Alligator mississippiensis: one gene and its partner. The protein of the gene in region 1 purifies or fractionates together with the protein of each later gene. This does not show direct contact. Links are inferred from orthologs where the notes say so. Each region holds a gene or a part of one and is shown in the gene's direction. Other genes may lie near its edges.

Region 1 (8,884 bases):
AAATCTTCGGATCTGATTCGGCCGAATTGAATTGGGACAGTGATTCAAATCTCTGAATTGAATCATTGTCCCTCTGAATCAGTCAAATCCAAAACTAAGCAAATACTTGCTGCTTCGTAGAGGCCTAGCGTTCATGACCTCTGAAAATTAAGCCATTATACTTGAAGGACACTATGCTTGGGGTCAAGAAACTGGAGTTCTCTTCTCAGCCACTAACTTGCAGGGTGACCAAATACTACTTTCTCCATTTCTCCATGCCTCTTCTCCTGTCAGCCCTCTTTCAGACCTGTCTAATGGGATTTTCAGCTCTTTGAGACAGGGTCCATTTCTCACTTTGTATTCGCACAGCATGTTGGGGCTTCTAGATGCCACTCTAATGCAATCAGTAAATACGGTATAAGGTTAAAAATATTATAAAGTAGATTGTGAGTGCATATAATGCTATCAGTGTTTTAACAGTGCAGGCTAAATGAAACTATCTTAATTTGCTCCTTTGAGCAGAAGGTTCTGATTTAAAAAAAAATTTTTTTTTAGATTTATTTATTTATCTATTTTAGTTTTTTTTTATTTTTACAGATAAAGCACCTGGTTGAAAAGACTACTTTAAATGTTCTGTACTTCTAAAACAAAACAAAATTTATGATAACTATCCATATCCAAATTAACTATTTCCAGATGCTCAGTGCTAACCATTTATACAGTTTGTAAATGCAGCCTTCTTTTGAAAATTCTTTGCCCATTGTTTAACTTTCTTTTAATGCTCTGTATTGTCTTGTATCATTCCTAATATATTGATCATAAGATGATATGATTCCTTTTTCCTCTGATCTGAGGATATATACTGAAAAAAATGTTCAGTTTTGAACCAGTTCCATGTCACAGATAAAATTTATTCTGGGAGGTTCTGCAGGTATAACTGAAGGTACGGTTAAGGCCACTGTTTTGAATGCAAGATGTAGGCCCATGTACTGGCCATGTGAATATATAATATTTATGTGAATATTTCCATGGTATGTTTGAGTCTCATGTGGCTGACTTTATTTCCAATGCTGATCACTCTGATCTCTCATGAATCTATATTCAGATCAGAATACTCACTTTTTCCCTTGTTTTTTCTTTAAAGAACCAAAAAAATACAATGCAAAAATATGCTAAGACAACTTTATGGCTGAAAATTGAAACACATAAGACAGAAAATTCAAAGATACAGTTTCCACAGCAACCATACATCAACCAGATTGCACTCACATTAAAGCAAAGCATTAGCAGCCTACCCAATAATGTAGATTTTACTACACATGAGCAATGGAGCTGTATTATGTTTGGAAAGGGAGCCATAATTTAGAATTACCTGTCTTTTGTAGATTAAATGTTTTCAGCCTTTTCATGCATTAAAAAATTCATAGTGACTCATTCATACAATGTATTCCAAGGACTCTGTGCTCCTGGTTCTAAAAGTGATATGCCACTAGACACTGGGAAGGGGAAATCTGAAGAGCAATACACTTCTTGAGGCAGATTTTTACCTGGGGTACAAATGGAGGTATGACAACTATAATACAATTAAATCACAAATTGTGAAAATAAAGCCTTGCTTTTAGGGAGTTGGAAAATTATTGGTCATGTTTCTTGCAACTCTAGCTGGTCAAATGATGTAATGCAAATCATTTAAAATGTGACCTAAGCCTTTTTTTAAATTTATGGGTTGATGTCAGCTTCTTTCCAAATGTGTGACCAAGTCACCAGTATTAGCAAATTGTTCAGATAACAAATTTGCATTCTATAGGTTATTGGGAAACTATTACATTACACTGTTCATTGCTTCCTACTTACAGTAAAAACTATGGAGTGAAAGCCAGGCCACAATGCCAGTCAATGGCATTGATTTTTGTAAGGCCATGATTTAATTTCCAGAATTGTTTCTACTCCATAATTAGACGACTGAGGCCCTATCCACAGCCTTGTGGCACAGGTTTAATTTAAGGTATGATATAAAATGTTGCTTTAATCAATATAGAGGGTTGTGTGGACACTATCTTCAGTTTAGTCTAGGCTTTGAGCAAATGGAAACAATAGCACACTGGTTTTGATCCTTCCAGGTAATGAATTCCTAGGCCTAGACCATTTCTCTCTCTCATCCCCAGAAGAAAGAAAACGGATTGTCTCACAGTACCTTGTGAGAGCAAATGGAGCCTCAGGCAAGATGCACCTAAGTCTGGGTGTATATCTCTATTCACTCCACTTCAGATGCACTGCAAGAGTTCTCAAGGGCAGGCACTGGGCTAAGATCCCTTACCAAAAAGCACTGACACTGCATTTCCAGGCAAGGAGCATTTATGGAGCAGGAGTGAGTGGGCAGGGCCACAGTCTCGGGTTTGCCCGAGTGCAAACCCCGAGTGGTGGTACAGATATAACCTATCATCTCTCATGCTGGCTGCATGCTGGTGTGGATGTGAAATAGGGTAGCAGGCATATAGATGGTACTTAACTGCTGTTCAGCAGCCTAGTCACATATCTCTATGCTGATGGAAAATGAATAACTCATAATTAGACAGGTAGTTAGCTCTGTTAGTCTGAAGTCAGGCAGAAGGCAAGGTAGATTTGCATCTTGTAGACTAAATCAGAGATGCGTAGCATAAGCTTTTGTGAGCTCAAACTCACTTCATCAGATGCTGTAAATCAAAAGACCATGCACAGAGACCAGCCCTGTGCATGTTGCTTCACAGTAGCTGAGGAAGTGAGCTTGGGCTCACAAAAGGCTATGTTATGCATCTCTGGTATAGTTAGTGCAGCTCTGCCCTGCCTTCTGCCTAACTCAATTGCCAATCTGAGGTTACACTGCAGTGAAGACATGGCATTATTTGGAGTTACTTTACATTGGTTAGGAGGAACAGGGTGAAGTAAAAACAAAATAAATCATTCAAACAAAAAATAAATGGTTAGTGCTTCTGCATGCATCAGTTTAACTACACCAGTGCTGACGTGGGTGGGGAAGCCTTCAAAACATTTTAAATAGGAACATAACAAATGCTTAATAAACACATTTTGGTATTAATTTTGTATCATCGTAAACGAGAGAAAACAGTCATATTTTCCGATCCTATAACATGTCTGTTGTCTGAATATTCTCAGTTAATATTATGATCCAGGAAAGCTAATGGAATTCAGAAAGTTCTTCTTAACGTCTAACCCAGCGGTTCCCAATCTGTGGTATGGGTACCACCAGTGGTATGCAGACAGCTTGTCAGTGGTACACATTAACAGATTTATTTTAATTACTTTACATAACAAGAATTTGCTAGTGGTACTTCAGTTTGAACTGAAACACTTGCTGGTGGTACTTAAGGTTGTGCACCACCAATTTAAAAAAATACAATCTGTCAGAGTTTGAGAACTGGTGGTCTAACCTAAATCTTCCTTTATGCAATTTAAGAGTATGTCTTCTCCTGTCCCCTCACGGATGCACAAAACAGTTGATCACCAGCCTTTTAATAGCTTTTTGTATTTGAAGATTCTTGGCAAATTCCCCCTCAGTCTTCTCCAGGCTAACTAATCTTAGGATTTCTGGGACGTGCCTCTGTAAGGGGGAAACTCTGACTCTCCCCTCTTGCTGGGGACATGCCAGAGATCCTGGGTTTGTGTCTCAGTAAGCAGGAGGGGCCGGGCAAGTGCTCCTAGGGCTTGAGGGTGCCTGGTCCTGTGCAGGAGTTCATAGATTCATAGATATTGTCAGGGTGTGCAGAACTAGGCCCCTCTTGGCAGTTCTTTGCAGATGAAGGTTTTAGGAAGGTAACTGCCCACGCCAGTTGTAGGCCTGCTGGTGACTAACTAGTTCAATTGCAGAGAGGCAAATCCTGCTGCAACGGTCACATGGCTATAGCTGGTTGCCGCTAGATGAGGGTGTATCTTTCCTCCTCCTTCTCTTCTCCTTGATGCTAGTTCTGCCCTGTCATTCAAAGAGGGCTATTGCCTTTTTGTTTTGAAGCCCCCAGGCATCATGATCTGCAGCTTGTGTTTTCCATAGTTTGTAGTCAACACTGCAGGCAGGAAAGGACCTTTTCAGGGTGTCACATTTCCCGGTTGTCAGTTCCCTGTACAGCATGGCCTTTGGTAGGTGGTTGTCATCCATCCGGGCCACGTGGCCTGCCCACCGCAACCGAGTGTGCAGGAGAACAGCCTGGATGCTGGTGGCATGGGCTTTGTAGCACCTCTGTGTCATGAGCACCATATGCCCCCGGGGGCTAGTGGGGCATGGTGAGCTCCTGCAGGCAGTGGTGTCAGCAGCAGGAGCGTGGCAGAGGCAAATGGGGAGCTGGTGCAGGCAGCTGTAGCACTGTCATCGGCAGTGGGGAGGGGGTGGCAGTCAGCAACCACCCACAGACACAGCCGGCAGTGTCGGTGGCAGCCAGTGGTGATCATGGACCGCCTGCAGATACTCCCGGCGGTGTCGGTGGCAAAGGGGGTGGGTGGCGAGTGGCAACCGCCTGCAGGCCAACACTGTCGGCGGCGCCTTTTCGCAGGGGGCGCACTGCCAATCTCAGCTAGGGTACGTGCACCCGCGTGCACCCCTTGCGCATCACCAACGCTCTGCGCTGGCGACCTCATCCTGCCAGCAGATCCCGAGACCCGGGCGGAGGCGCTCGAGCAGGGGCCAGTGGGGGCGATCCAAGCCGGGGGAAAACGTGATGCACACAGTCTCGCACTCTCGAGACAATAGGCAAGGCGTGTTTCATCCAGCGAAGCTAGGAAACATCTGGCACAACTGCTGCGTTTCGCTCTGCAACCTCTGCGTCTACCCTTGTATGGGGGAGGGGCCGCGTGGCCCGCTTGGCGGACTAGCCGCTCAGGGGAGCCCGGCGCTGCCTGGTAGGGGTGGCCCCGGGAGAGGCGGCCCCGCTCGCGTGCGTGCCCCGGCCCGTTTAAGAGGGCGGCGCGGCTCCACGTGCTCCGCCTGAGTGACGGCTCCGTATAAACAGCGCGGGAGGCAGCCGGGCTTGACCGGCAATAACCTCCCTGCGAGGCAATAAAGGCAGCTGGGGTCCGGCGCGGAGCAGCAGCAAACGTTGCGGCCGGGGCACGCGGGACCTGGGCTGGGCAGCGGGGAGTCCGCCGGCACGGAGCGCGCAGGTAGGGCTGCCCCTCTCCCCACGGCTCGCCTCGCCCCCTTCTCGGGGGACATAGTTTCTCCTCTCTTAAAGCCCCCCGAACAAAGCAGAGAGGAGGCTTGTTGCTGCGGGGTGCCGGCGGGGTGGGGGTGTGCCGGGTGCTGCCCCTCCAGGCGCCTCCAGCCGGGGCTGTTGCGCGGGGCGGCGGCGCTGCCCGAGAGTAACCCCGGCCGCGAGCGGCGCCTCCGCGGGAAACAGCAGCGAGCCCGAGGAGCCGGGTTTGTGACGGGAGAGGGGAACACAGATGGGGTTTGAGTAGCTGGAGGCCCTATCCTCATTTCCCTTCCCCTTGCTGCTAAGTCGGGAGCGGTCCCCGCAAGGATGTTTTCACAGAATAAAGGAAACTCTTGTGGGGAAGGGGAAGAAGAGTTTTTGTTTGCTTGTTTGTGCCCCCCCCCCTTCTATTTTCTCTTTATGAATTTTTCGCCTCAGTGTATCCATGGGCAAGATAGACTTGGCTCTCCCCGTGTTTCATCCTTCTTTGAGGGATGCCGGCACCCAATGGGCCAGGGTCTGGTCTCCAGGTCCACAGGCACGTAGGATTGTGATCCTTCGCATCCTTGCTGTGGCTTTAACACCCAGTATATCTTGTTTTTACATTGCAGCCTATTATAGAGCTGCCTTGCAACCTGTCATTAGCCTATTATGAGCGCTCCTGTTTTGTTTTGGTTGAGTGTCATGGGATATCTAAAAATATTTAAGGGGGACAAAAGAAAAAGGATACAGGAGCGCATCCTAAACTCTAATATTTGTCCCTCCACAAAACAAAAAAATATCTTTCAAAGTTTTCACGCAGATATCCATCTTCCTTTATGTTTAGTTTAGTCCTATAAATGAACTTTCCTAAACTTTGGGCTTAGTTTCTTTTAAGTATCTTAGACTGAGAATAGTTTTCCCTGCAAAGAACCACCCTCCTAGATGCTTGTATATAGTTTATTTTGGGTGGATCTTCAGTTGGTGTGAATTGGTATCTGTAACTGCGCTGAAGGCGGGACTGAAGCATCTGCTTATGCACTTTGCTGCGTTGGGCTGATATGGGAACTGAGCTTTCTCAAACATCTGGCCATGTTAACGCATCCAAATACTGAAAAGAGCAGTGCAAGCTCTGTAACAGCATAACTGACTGACCCCAGTGCAAATTCAATTTTTGTATGGGGGCAGTGGGGATAAAAAAGGAGAAATTGAATCCAAATATTGCAAGTACTTGACTCTTACTGCCTATTTTGCCTTTTTTAAAATTAAATATGACCAGCGATTATATGATGAGATCCCACAAGGATTATTATTGCCTACTGTTAGGGACTTTGTCTACCACATTATTGGAATGACATGTAACGGCAGCTACACAAACTCTGCCCGCTTTGCTCCTGACTATAAAGAGCCAAGCCCTGGTGCCGTTACTTGCACCAAGTGGCACTTTATCCCATAAACAGTGCTGCTTCAGTGGGCTCTATGCGGAAGGAAATCTAGCTTTTTTGCATCTTTAGACCAAAATTTTGTTTGCTCTGCAGCAGTTTTAATGGTGAGGGTGTTTGCCAGTAGAGCCACTTACGGTTCTAGACACTTGGATTTAGAATTAGTTTTGGCTAATTTGGCCAAAGTGGCCACCATAAGTGGCCGTGCTACCAGCAAACATCCTCCACCTGCACCTGGGACTTCAGATGTTTCCAAAACCTTTGGCGGGCATTGGTTTGGATGCCCCTGAGTTTTGCTTGCCCTTAGCCATAAGGCCCTTGGAGCAAGCAGGGAGGAGACTGCCATTTCCATAAACTGGGCTGAAAGCCATTGCACCTCAGCGGGTCCTGAACCATGCCAGAAGAGCAGTTCAGGAAAACTGCCTTTTTGGGCACACATACATGGTACTCTCCCTGCCAGGTTAAGAAGGCGCTACGCTTGTCCTGAGCCTTCAGGATATTTAACATTGGAGCAGCTAACTAAGGGATGCTGTGTATTCCTAGCCACTTGGAGTCTTTACATGAGACTATTTGTCTGTCTCTGCAAGGTGTGCTTGGTTTCAGCCAGCAATTTTTTGGGTGTGAAGCAGGTTTTGCTGGGTGAAATCTCTTGGTGGGACACAGGAGATCCAATGATAGATCATTCTGGGCATGTCTCTACTTACTACCTACAGGCTGTGATATGGAGTGCTGTAGTAAGAGTGTTGTACCCCCTCAGCATTTTCTGAGTCCCCAAATGATGCGAGGAAGCAGTGTTGGGCATACTCCTATTAGCATGTCTGTGACGGGGAACAAACTGGTGCTTGCCCTGTGTTGTTCTGAGATTAATCCAGTTATGTTTCCATATCTGGTGGCCATAGATCCTACAGTGCTTCTTAAGAATTAAATGTTTCTCTTTTTTTATTTGCACTGTTTGTGTCCTACATATGAAATTAACACCCTGGATCACAGTTGTATTTGAGAGATCTCCGATTTTCTGTAAATGCAAAGTAGCCCCATTTGTACCTTGCAAAGTTTTCAGATAGGACTTGATGTTAAATAATGAAATATTAAATAATGACTTCTTCACTTTAGAAAACAACTCTTTAGCTACCTGATAAAATTGGGTGTCTTGGAAAAAGTATCTAAACGCTTGTTTGCACTACTACAGAAACCACTGCTAAGGATGAGTTTCTAGTGGCGCAAATCATTGCCTCAGTGCTACTGTCCTGATCCTCATTTATATGAGGGCCTCGATAGAAACAGATCTCACCTTGTATGTTTTCCAGGTTATTTCAACTTTCCAATAGTTCTTTAATTGAACTTTGCCTCGCTTAACCTATCCTGCTCCCTCAACCAAGAAGCAGATCCTAGGTGCATGTGCGTGAGACAAAACTCCACAAAGACTCAACAGACAATTCTGCAGTCTCGACAAGGCAAAATTCCCATTAATCCTTTTGCAGAAGGGTTTACAGAATAAGAAGTAATGCCCAGGGTTTGTTCTCATTTACTCCAGTGCAAGTCTGAAGAGGCTGTGTTGATTTCAAAGTTACTTTAGATTGACTGAGAATACTCTAATCATGAGTGCAAGGTTTGATCTTGAGTGAATTGTAAGAACGGAAGTGATTTCAAAGGTGCATCTCCCCTCTGCTGTGTGTGTGATGCTGCAGACATCAGGGAGCTCATCTGGCTGTGACTGATAGCAAGATTTTTGTTCTAGGGAGGGATCAGAAAAGGTCTAGTTTTATCTCTTCTCATTGTGTTATGATAGGTTCAGTTACCAGATGGGTAACTTTGTTCATGCTGTAAAGAACGTCAAATGGCTGCATGAGACTGAAGTGTTGAACAGGGTGTGAATCTTGCTTGGGAAGAAGAAAGGTGCCTGTAGGGTGTGTATTGGCTCACATGCCAGGGTATTGGGAGCATTGTTCTGGAACTCTGATGTGAGTGGCGGCAGAATCCAGCTCGGGTGTTTTACTTTAATAACAAATTCCCTTTCTTATCTTGGTCTAACTGGGGAAGATTGGGGGGGAGGGTGTCTGATTTTCCCTGGGTATAAATTGCTAGAGTTCTGTCAATGTCAAAAGAATGCTGCCAATTTACATCCGCTGAGAATTTGGCTCGAGCATATATTCTCTGTGTGTTAGGTACCTAACAATAACCCATTTGTAATGCTGAGTGTTATAACATGCATTACAGGTATACTCAGGAGATTCTTAGAGAGACTGCAAAAATAGGAGAGATGAGCCACAACATTTCATGTAAAAATCATGTATCTGACTTGAG
Region 2 (8,406 bases), on another chromosome or scaffold:
CCAGAAACCCCTGTGGAGATGGGGATGCGTAAGGGGGTGCCAGGCCTGGCTGAGGTGATGATGGGGAAGTCCCCCCAAGCACCTTCCAGGCATGCATGCGGGCCTGATGCTGTGGCAGATGGGTGGTCTCCTCCATCAGCTGCTGGTAGCGTGGGCAAGGCCGCAGTGGGAAGCGCAGGAGCTAGGTAGGGAGGCAGGATGGAGTTAGCAACACCCTGACCATGACTCCTCAACCCCAAGTGTAGGTGGGATGACCTCCACCTAAAGGAGAATGTGACCCTAACCTTAAATGTGGCCCCTTTCATCATTACCCCCTAATTCTGACTTAGAAGGAGATGGTGACCCTTTGACCTAGGGTGAGCTCTGATCCTAGCTGAGACCTCAGCTCCGCAACCTCTGACCCTTGAAGGGCTCATAAGCCTGGGGACCAGGGGCATGGAGAATGTGGAGGGGGGCATTAGAAGATGTGGGGGTGGTGCAGTGGGGGCACATTGGGGTCTGTGGGGGCATAGGTATGTGATGGGGCTTCCAGGCATGGGGCTCAGGGGTCCTGCCCTCAGGCTAGAGGCAGTGAGGGGGGTATGCAAGGTGCAGAGAGTGGCTGGGCCCCCTGAAGGGGTGACCCATAGCCCCGGCTCACCTTGTCCTGTGCAGCTGGCACAGTGTGGACAGGCACTGGCTGCCAGGCGGGGTTGGGGGGCCCGGCACCTCCAGGTGGGTACAGCCCAGCTAGGTTAGCCTGGGCGCTGGCCAGCGTGCGGTCATAGTCGGTGCTGCGGACGTAGATCTGCAGGAGAGGCAAGTGGGGTGAGGGTGGGTCAGCATAGGGTGGGGGTGAGCATGGGGACATCAGGGGTCAGGAGGGGTATAGGGCCTCGAGGGAGGGGGCTGTTCCTTCTTGGAGTGGGCCTGGGGGCTTCAGGGCAGTGGGGGTAGGGAGGGATCAGAACCTGGTGTGTGTGTGGGGGGGCTGTTACCTCCTGGGGGTGGTAGTGGGGGCTCAGGAAGGCCTCATAGCGCTGCCGCAGGAACTGGCCCAGCTCACGCTGCTGTTCCACCCCCACCTGGGGCAACAGGTGGAGTCAGGAGCAGCCTCCAACACCTGCAGCATGTCTCTCCCTGCCCCAGTAAGACCCCCCCACTCACCTGAGTGAGCTGCTGGAAGCCCTGGGGCCAGGGCCCCTCCTTGTGGGGGTCACTGGGGTAGGTGTCCATGGGGGCCCGGTCGCCATGGCGATACAGCTGGTGTGCAGAGAAGACCAAGTGTCCCCCTCCTCTCCAACAAACCACCCCCTACCCTCAAGATCCAGAGCTGGGAGGGAACCCAGGTGCCCTGGCTTCCAGCCCCCACTGCTCTTGCCCACCAGCCTCCAGTCCCTCTCCAGAGCTGGGAGAGAACTCAGCTGTCCTGGTCCCAGCCTCCCTTCTCTCACCCACCAGAGCCTACTCCCCTACCCCAAGCTGGGATAGAACCCAGGGGTCCTGCTCTCAGTCTGTGCCCCCTCCCCCACAATCACTAGCCTGCCCTGGGTGGGCTGTGGCCTTGCCGTACCAGTGTGACGAAGCAGAGGGTCCTGGCATGGGCGGTGGGGGGCTGGGACCCCAGCAGGAGCAGGAGCAGGGCAGCAGGCAGCCCCATGGTGTGGGGCTGATGTGTCACCCAGGCAGGGCCTGGTTATAAGCTGCTGAGGTCAGCCCACAGGTGGGGTGGGCCTGTCCCAGCCTGCATGCCCCCCCACCTGCCCATGGGTGCCACTGCCTGCCCCCCACAGCTGGGGGGGGTTAGGGCAGACTTTCCTAACTACCAGTCTGGGGCACAGACTTGCTGAGGTGGCTCAGGGAGGTGGTGGTGGGGGAAGGGGGTGTCTGTACATTGCTCATAGAGGTGTTTGTGGTTGCGGGCAGGTGTGTGCATGTATATGTGTGTGTGTGTGTGTGTGCATCTACTATGCAGTGTGTGGTGGGTTAATGTTCATGTTGATGTTTCCTTGTAGTGCAGGGGGGGTGTTTAGTGGTTTTATGTGTGTGTGTGTGTGTGTGCTGTGTGTACTTGTGTATTGCAGAGAGGGGTGTGTGTATGCACACGTGCTATGTATACTTCTGTATTGCAGAGAGATGTGTGTGTGCATGTGCATCACAGAGAGGTTTGTATGTGCACACTGCATACTTGTGTATTGCAGAGGCGTGTGTGCAGGCACATTGTGTGTAACTATTACAGAGAGAGGCATATGTGTACATGTTACATGTGCTTGTATATTGCAGAGATGTGTTTGTGTCTTGTATGTGTCTGCATATTGTAGAGGGTGTGTGTGTGTGTACTTGTGTATTTGAGAGAGGTGTGTGTGCTGTGCATATTTGTGTATTGCAGAGAGGTACGTATGTGTGTGCTGTGTGCACTTGTGTATTGGAGAGCATTGTGTGCTGTGTGTACTTGTGCATTGCAGAGGTGTGCAGGCAAACTATTTGTAATTGTGTATTTCAGAGAGTTGTGTGTGCATATGCTGTGTGTACCTGTATATTTCAGAGACATGCACATGTGTGTTTGTACCTCATATGTATTTGCATACTGTGGAGGGTGTGTTTGGGTGGGTGAATGCACATGGTGGAGGTGCATGTGATGGAAGTGTGTGTGTGCATGTGCACATTGATATATGTGATGAATGGGTGCATGGAGGATGTAGCAGTGGCCTCATGTCAGGGAGGGTGCTGGGGTGTAGCAGGGGAGCGCACATGGAAAATGGATGTCACTGTGTGTCCATGGACTGCAGGTGGGTCAATGGTGGATGGATGTGTTGAGGTGTGTGGTGCATGTGTCTGAGCCACTCAGGGGCTTGTATTAATTGGGGTTAGGTGTGTTGCTGCATGTCTGGGCACTGCCCTGCTGCACCCCAGGGGATACAGGGCTGTGGAAGTGAGGGGGTGTGGGGGATTTGGGGACCCTGAAGAGGCTGGGGCTGGGCTGGGGCAAGTGTGGGACAATCCAGCCCCCTCCCTGCCATGAGGCCACTTCCAGAAGCCTTTCCCTTCTAGAAGGTGCCTGCCCAGATCCAACCCCAGTGCAGGGGCATGGGCTGGCACAGGGGACAGGGATAGAGCAGGGGCCTTTCCTTTTTAGGGGGTTCCAGCCCTGAAGCATTGTGGGCCTGGGCAGATGAGTGTGGGGGTGCCCCCATGAGGCAGGCCTTGGGTTTTGAGATCCCTGTAGCATTTCCTGTCCTGGTACAGAGACCTCCCCCCAGCCCCAGCCAGGTCTTCTCTCCTCTCTGGCCCCTGTTGGGGGTGGGGGGGTCCAGTTTTGGGATGGGCGCCTTTCAGCGACTCCTGTATAGGGAGCTCAAACCTGCCCCTTAGAATCCCCACCACCCACGTGACTCCCCAGTACAGGGGCTCTGTCTATGGGCTGGAAAGCAGGAGCAAGCTACAAACCCGGGGGCAGGCTGCATCTGGGGAACCCCTCGAAGTAGGAAGCTCAAGCTTACCCCCCAAAATTTCCCCCCCGCCCCGCCATTCAGCCCAGTGTTGGGCAAGGGGATTGGATGGCACCGGTGCATTTGAGAGGCTATATATTTCCAATGCGGGGGGGGGGGGGGGGCTATATCTCATTAACTACTAAATCCAGCAAACTCAAATTTGCTTCCCATAGCCCCCCCACCGGGTTCCTGCTGCAATTTCCAAGCAGACCGGACCATGCCACGGCCAGCTAAGAGGAAAACACCTTCCAGATTGGGGGGCCTATTTTGGGAATCCCTAAGTCCAGCGTGCTCAGATTTACCCCTCTTAACCCCCGCAGCCCCCGGAATCCCAGTGGCGATTTCCAAGCAGATCGGACCATACTGGAGGGAGCTGAGAAACGCGCCCCCAGGCTGGAAGGGGGTTTCCTATCTCGGGAACCCTTCAATCCAGCGAGCTCCAACTGCTCGCGTCCCCCCCCCCCCCCAGACAAGATTCAGCCGGATCCCGGGATCTGTGCTGCGACTTCCGAGCAGATTGGACCATGTTGCGGGGAGCTGAGAGGGGAAACACGTTTCCAATGTTAGGGGCTGTATGTCGGGAACCCCTCAATCCAGCGGGCTCAGACTTGCCCCCCAAAATACCCCGACTCTGCGCCGCGGCTCCTGGGGGGAGGGGGGCGGTCGCACCCGGCAAGGGATTTTTTTGAGGAGTGACGGGGGTAGAAAGCAGATTTCCGCTCCCAACAGCAACAATGTTGCAACCTCTGCTGCGGGGGGAGGGGGCTAAGTGGGGCAGCCCGAGCCCCTCCGCCGCTCCCCCACCCCCCAGGGCACGGGGTTGGGGGGGACAGCCGGTTCCACCCCCCCTTCCTCCCCAATTGCACCGGATCCGGGGGGGCTGGGCTGGAAGTGACGTGGATGTGGGGGTTCCCGGAAAGGCCCGTGTGAATGCGTGTGCGTGTGTGTGTGTGTGGGGGGGGGCGCCTGGAAGGAGACAGGTATGGGGTCTGGGATCGGGGGCGGGGCCGGGAGGGCTGGGATGGGGGGTAGGGGCAGGCATGGAGCCTGGGATGGCGAGGCTGGGCAGGCCAGGGGGGCTGGGATAAGTGCAGGGTGAGCCAGGCAGGGGGCTGGGATCGGGACAGGGGGCTGGGAGTTTGTGGGGCTGGGGATAGCAGAGGGGGGTCGGGAGGGGAAGGAGGAGAAGGAAGAGGCAGGGTTGGGGGAGGGACAGGACCAGAGTAGGGTCCAGGACCCAGTTATGAGGTGTGGGGGGCAGAGAAGCAGGTGCCTGGGGGGGATTGGGGCTGAGGGGCAGCACTGGGGGTCCGGAGCTGGGATGGGGGGAGTGATGTGGGGCTGGGCTGGGAGGTAAGGGTAGGGCATGAGGGACTGGGATTGGGGGGCCTGGGCAAGGTGGGGGGGGCAGGCTGGGGGACTAGGAGCTTGTAGGGTTTGTGTGAGGAGAGCAGAGGGGTCTGAAAGGAGGAAGGGTGGGCAGCAGGATGGGTCCAGGACTTGGTTATGGAGTGTGTGGGGGGCAGAAGCAGGGGCTCTGGGCAGGGAGTTAGAGGGGCAATCAGGGATGGGAGGAGTTCTGGGGGTTTAGAGCTTGGATTGGATTTGGGAGGGAGTGAGGTGGGGCATGGGTGGCAGCCCCAAGCAGGGGAAGGGGCTGGGGAATGTCGGGGGGGGGGAGTGGTAGGTAAGGGGGCACTCCCTGCCAAACAGGAAGGACCCCACTTCCCTTTGCTTCTCAGAGTTATTCCCCTGGGAGCAGCCCAGACCCTGAAGGATCCCCCAGAACTTGCCCCAGTGCCCCCCAGGGCAGTGCCATGTGGCCCCTGCCCAGCTGAGCCTGCCCCCAGGAGGTGGTGGACATGGTGAGAAGTGGGAGATATTGGTTGTGGGGGGCCTGGGGGTGGTTCCCTCACAGCTCTGTGGGACAGCGGTGAGTGCTGGTGGGGTGGGGTGGGGGGTCTGTTTCTGCTTGTCTGACCATCCTTCTGTCTCTCCTTCTGTAGCACTGGGACTGGGTGCCACTGGCAGCCCACCACGCCCCAACATGGCCACACCGGGATCTGACCTACTGCCGGGTGAGTGACGGGCAAATTGGGGTGTGGGTGTGGGGTCCCTTTCTGTGACAGAACCCAGGCATCCGGGCAGTGGCTGCCCTTCCACCCCCCCCAAGTAACACAATAATCCCTGCAGGAGAACCCAGGCATCAGAAGCCCCATCAGAGGAACCCAGGCTACTTCCCTCTGGTGTCCAGGCATCTGAGGACCCACAGCCTCCCTTCCCTTTGCCCCAGTCCTGCAGCACTCCACCAAAGACCCAGGTGTCTGGGCAGCCACAGGCTTCTCCTTTGGGGATACTACTGCTGACCTCTCTCCCCCACTTCCCCCCCACTTTCCAGAGAACAGGGAGCCTTGGAGCCCAGCCCCCACCAGAGCCCCTGACCCAGAGTTGAAGAACGAGGGCCCCCACTCCCAGCTGGAGTTGGGAGCTGTAGCAGACAGTGAGGTGCCGGGCACCGATGGGGAAGGAACCGCCCAGAGCACTGGTGAGGGGCTGGGGGGTGGTGAATGGGGTGGGAGGGGCTAGAGCAAGGGGTGAGGAGTGCATCTGTGGGTGCTGGGCTCAGCAGGGCAGGGGAGCTGGCTGTCAGTGGGGCTGCAGGGACAGGGGGCCCTGGTGGGGCTGAATGGGTGAGAACTGAGGAGAGTAGCTAAAGAGATGGGGGGCAGTGGGGCATGGAAGCAGTGGAGGGGTATCATTGCAGCCAGTGGGGGGGCAGTAGGGCATGGGGGGTCCAGTGGGGAGCAGTGTATGGGCAGGTCACTGGGACATGGGGAGCAGTGGGGAAGTAATGGGATATAGGGATAGTGGGGCATAAGAGGATAGGGAGCAGTGGGGCATGGAGGGGCAATGGAAGGGTGTCAGAGGGCCCAGTGCGGGGACAGTGGAGAATGGGGGGCAGTGGGGTACGAGGGCTAGTGAGTTGGGGGCAGTGGGGGGGGGTCAGTGAGGCATGGGAAGTAGTTGGGGGGTCAGTGGGGCATAATGGGCAAGGCTCAGCAGGCAAGGCCTGGTGCTCTGAGCCTGACCCTGATGCCCCACTTTGCTCCTCTATCCCTATGGCTGCAGGGGAGGAACCGGTGCGGCGCCACCGCAAGGGCCCGGCGCCTAAGATGCTGGGCACAGAGCGGTGCAGTGTATGCAGGGACAAAGCCTCAGGCTTCCACTACAATGTGCTGAGCTGTGAGGGCTGCAAGGGCTTCTTTCGCCGCAGTGTCATCAAGGGGGCACAGTATGCCTGCCGTGGTGCTGGCCAATGCCACATGGACCCCTACATGCGCCGCAAATGCCAACTGTGTCGCTTTCGCAAGTGCCGCCAGGCTGGCATGCGAGAGCAGTGTGAGTGCTTGGGGCCATGGGCTGGGGGCAGGCTGGGAACATGGGGGAGCTCTGGGGTAGCCAGATAGGGAGGGGGACGGGGGGCAGAGTGGTCACAGGCTTGCAATGTGAACAGTGGAAGCCAGCCTTAGGGCACAGGTTCGCAGGCACCAGTCAGGTGGATCATGCATCAGGAGTGGTACTGGTGCCTGGCAGGCAGTAAACCAGGCCATGGGCCCAAGAAGGCTTGTGAGGACTTGGGGATCAGAGGCATGAGGGCATCAGGGGAACAGGCTGTGTGGATTGGGGGACCAGCAAGGGCTGATGTAGGGCATCAAGGGTCCAGCTGGCATGTGCAAGTGGTGTGAATCACATGCTGGGGCAGGGAGGGGGGCAGTGTGTGTCATGGGCTGTGGCTAGGGAGGGTGCCAGGGGGTGGGAGCTGGTTGGCTTGTGTGTGATGGGGTGGGGAGGCAGGGGCACAAGGAGAGGGAGGGGTGCGGGGGGGTCACAGGGTGTACAGGGAGGGGGCATGGTGGGGCAGCCAGCTTGTCTGGCAGTGTGGGGGCAACTAGGAGCCTGGGATCAGGCTGGGCAGGGGGTGGGGGACCTGGGGCACCAGCAGGGGAGTGTTGTGTTCTGCTTTGGAGAGGGCTGAAGTGGGGTGGAGAGGGGCAGGGGTCCCCTCCAATGCCTGTACCCCAATGACCCCGTTGCATGGCAGATGTCCTGTCGGAGGAGCAGCTACGGAAGAAGAAGCTGAGCCGGCAGCAGCAGCAACAGGAGGGGTGTGGGGGGGGCGAGATGCCCCGGGTGCCCCCGCTGCTCCCAGACCCTGTGCTGGGGCTGCCTGAGCCTGCCCAGCTCACACAGCAGCAGGAGCGCATGATCCAGCAGCTGGTGGCGGCTCAGCAGCAGTGCAACAAGCGCTCCTTCAGTGATCAGCCCAAGGTCACGGTGAGTGGCCTTGGCAGCCCTGGGCACTGCAGATCTCTCCAGCTCTGGGCACCAAAGCCCCCCTCACCCCACACGCACACTGGCAAGGCATAGACATCACTAGGCATCAGAGCCCTCCCTCCCCCAGTGCCAGGGAGGGTACAGGTGCCTGGTGCCACAGGACAGAAGTATCATGTCTTGCCCTCTTTTTCCCCATGGCTTGGGCATCTGTTGTAAAGGTGGTGGGACACCCTAGCCCTGGGCTACCCCATAGCAGGCACCCCTTGGTGCCAGGGGGTGGCATATGCCCCATGGATCCCCCAGTGTGTGGAGGTGGTAGCTCCTGGGTATCCCAGTTTCTTTCCAAAGGATGGTGCTGTCCCATGGGGGCTGGGCATGGAGGTGCCACATCTCACCCCAACTTGCACTGTGCATACCTGCAGCCATGGCCCCTGGGCAATGATCCCAACAGCCGGGAAGCCCGGCAGCAGCGCTTTGCCCATTTCACCGAGCTGGCCATCATCTCCGTGCAAGAGATTGTTGACTTCGCCAAGCAGGTACCTGGCTTCCTGCAGCTGGCTCGTGAGGACCAGATCGCCCTGCTCAAGGCCTCCACCATTGA

The links.
Region 2: the proteins of ABCA1 (region 1) and NR1H2 purify together in Homo sapiens (affinity purification with western blotting; 3 studies listed by BioGRID and IntAct, with this or other methods). This does not show direct contact. The link is inferred for Alligator mississippiensis from reciprocal best matches to the Homo sapiens genes ABCA1 and NR1H2.

What each region holds. Positions count from the first base shown.
Region 1 is NC_081826.1:157,970,529-157,979,412, reverse strand, and holds the start of ABCA1 (phospholipid-transporting ATPase ABCA1), read left to right. Parts: upstream 1-4,953; 5' UTR 4,954-5,127; intron 5,128-8,884. UniProt on the Homo sapiens protein: Catalyzes the translocation of specific phospholipids from the cytoplasmic to the extracellular/lumenal leaflet of membrane coupled to the hydrolysis of ATP.
Region 2 is NC_081828.1:40,182,195-40,190,600, forward strand, and holds the start of NR1H2 (oxysterols receptor LXR-beta), read left to right. Parts: upstream 1-4,365; 5' UTR 4,366-4,450; intron 4,451-5,212; 5' UTR 5,213-5,335; intron 5,336-5,476; 5' UTR 5,477-5,517; coding exon 5,518-5,548; intron 5,549-5,868; coding exon 5,869-6,015; intron 6,016-6,599; coding exon 6,600-6,869; intron 6,870-7,572; coding exon 7,573-7,805; intron 7,806-8,227; coding exon 8,228-8,406. Other genes in the region: ACP4 (testicular acid phosphatase), read right to left, coding at 1-181, 641-787, 978-1,064, 1,147-1,242, 1,553-1,639. UniProt on the Homo sapiens protein: Nuclear receptor that exhibits a ligand-dependent transcriptional activation activity. Binds preferentially to double-stranded oligonucleotide direct repeats having the consensus half-site sequence 5'-AGGTCA-3' and 4-nt spacing (DR-4).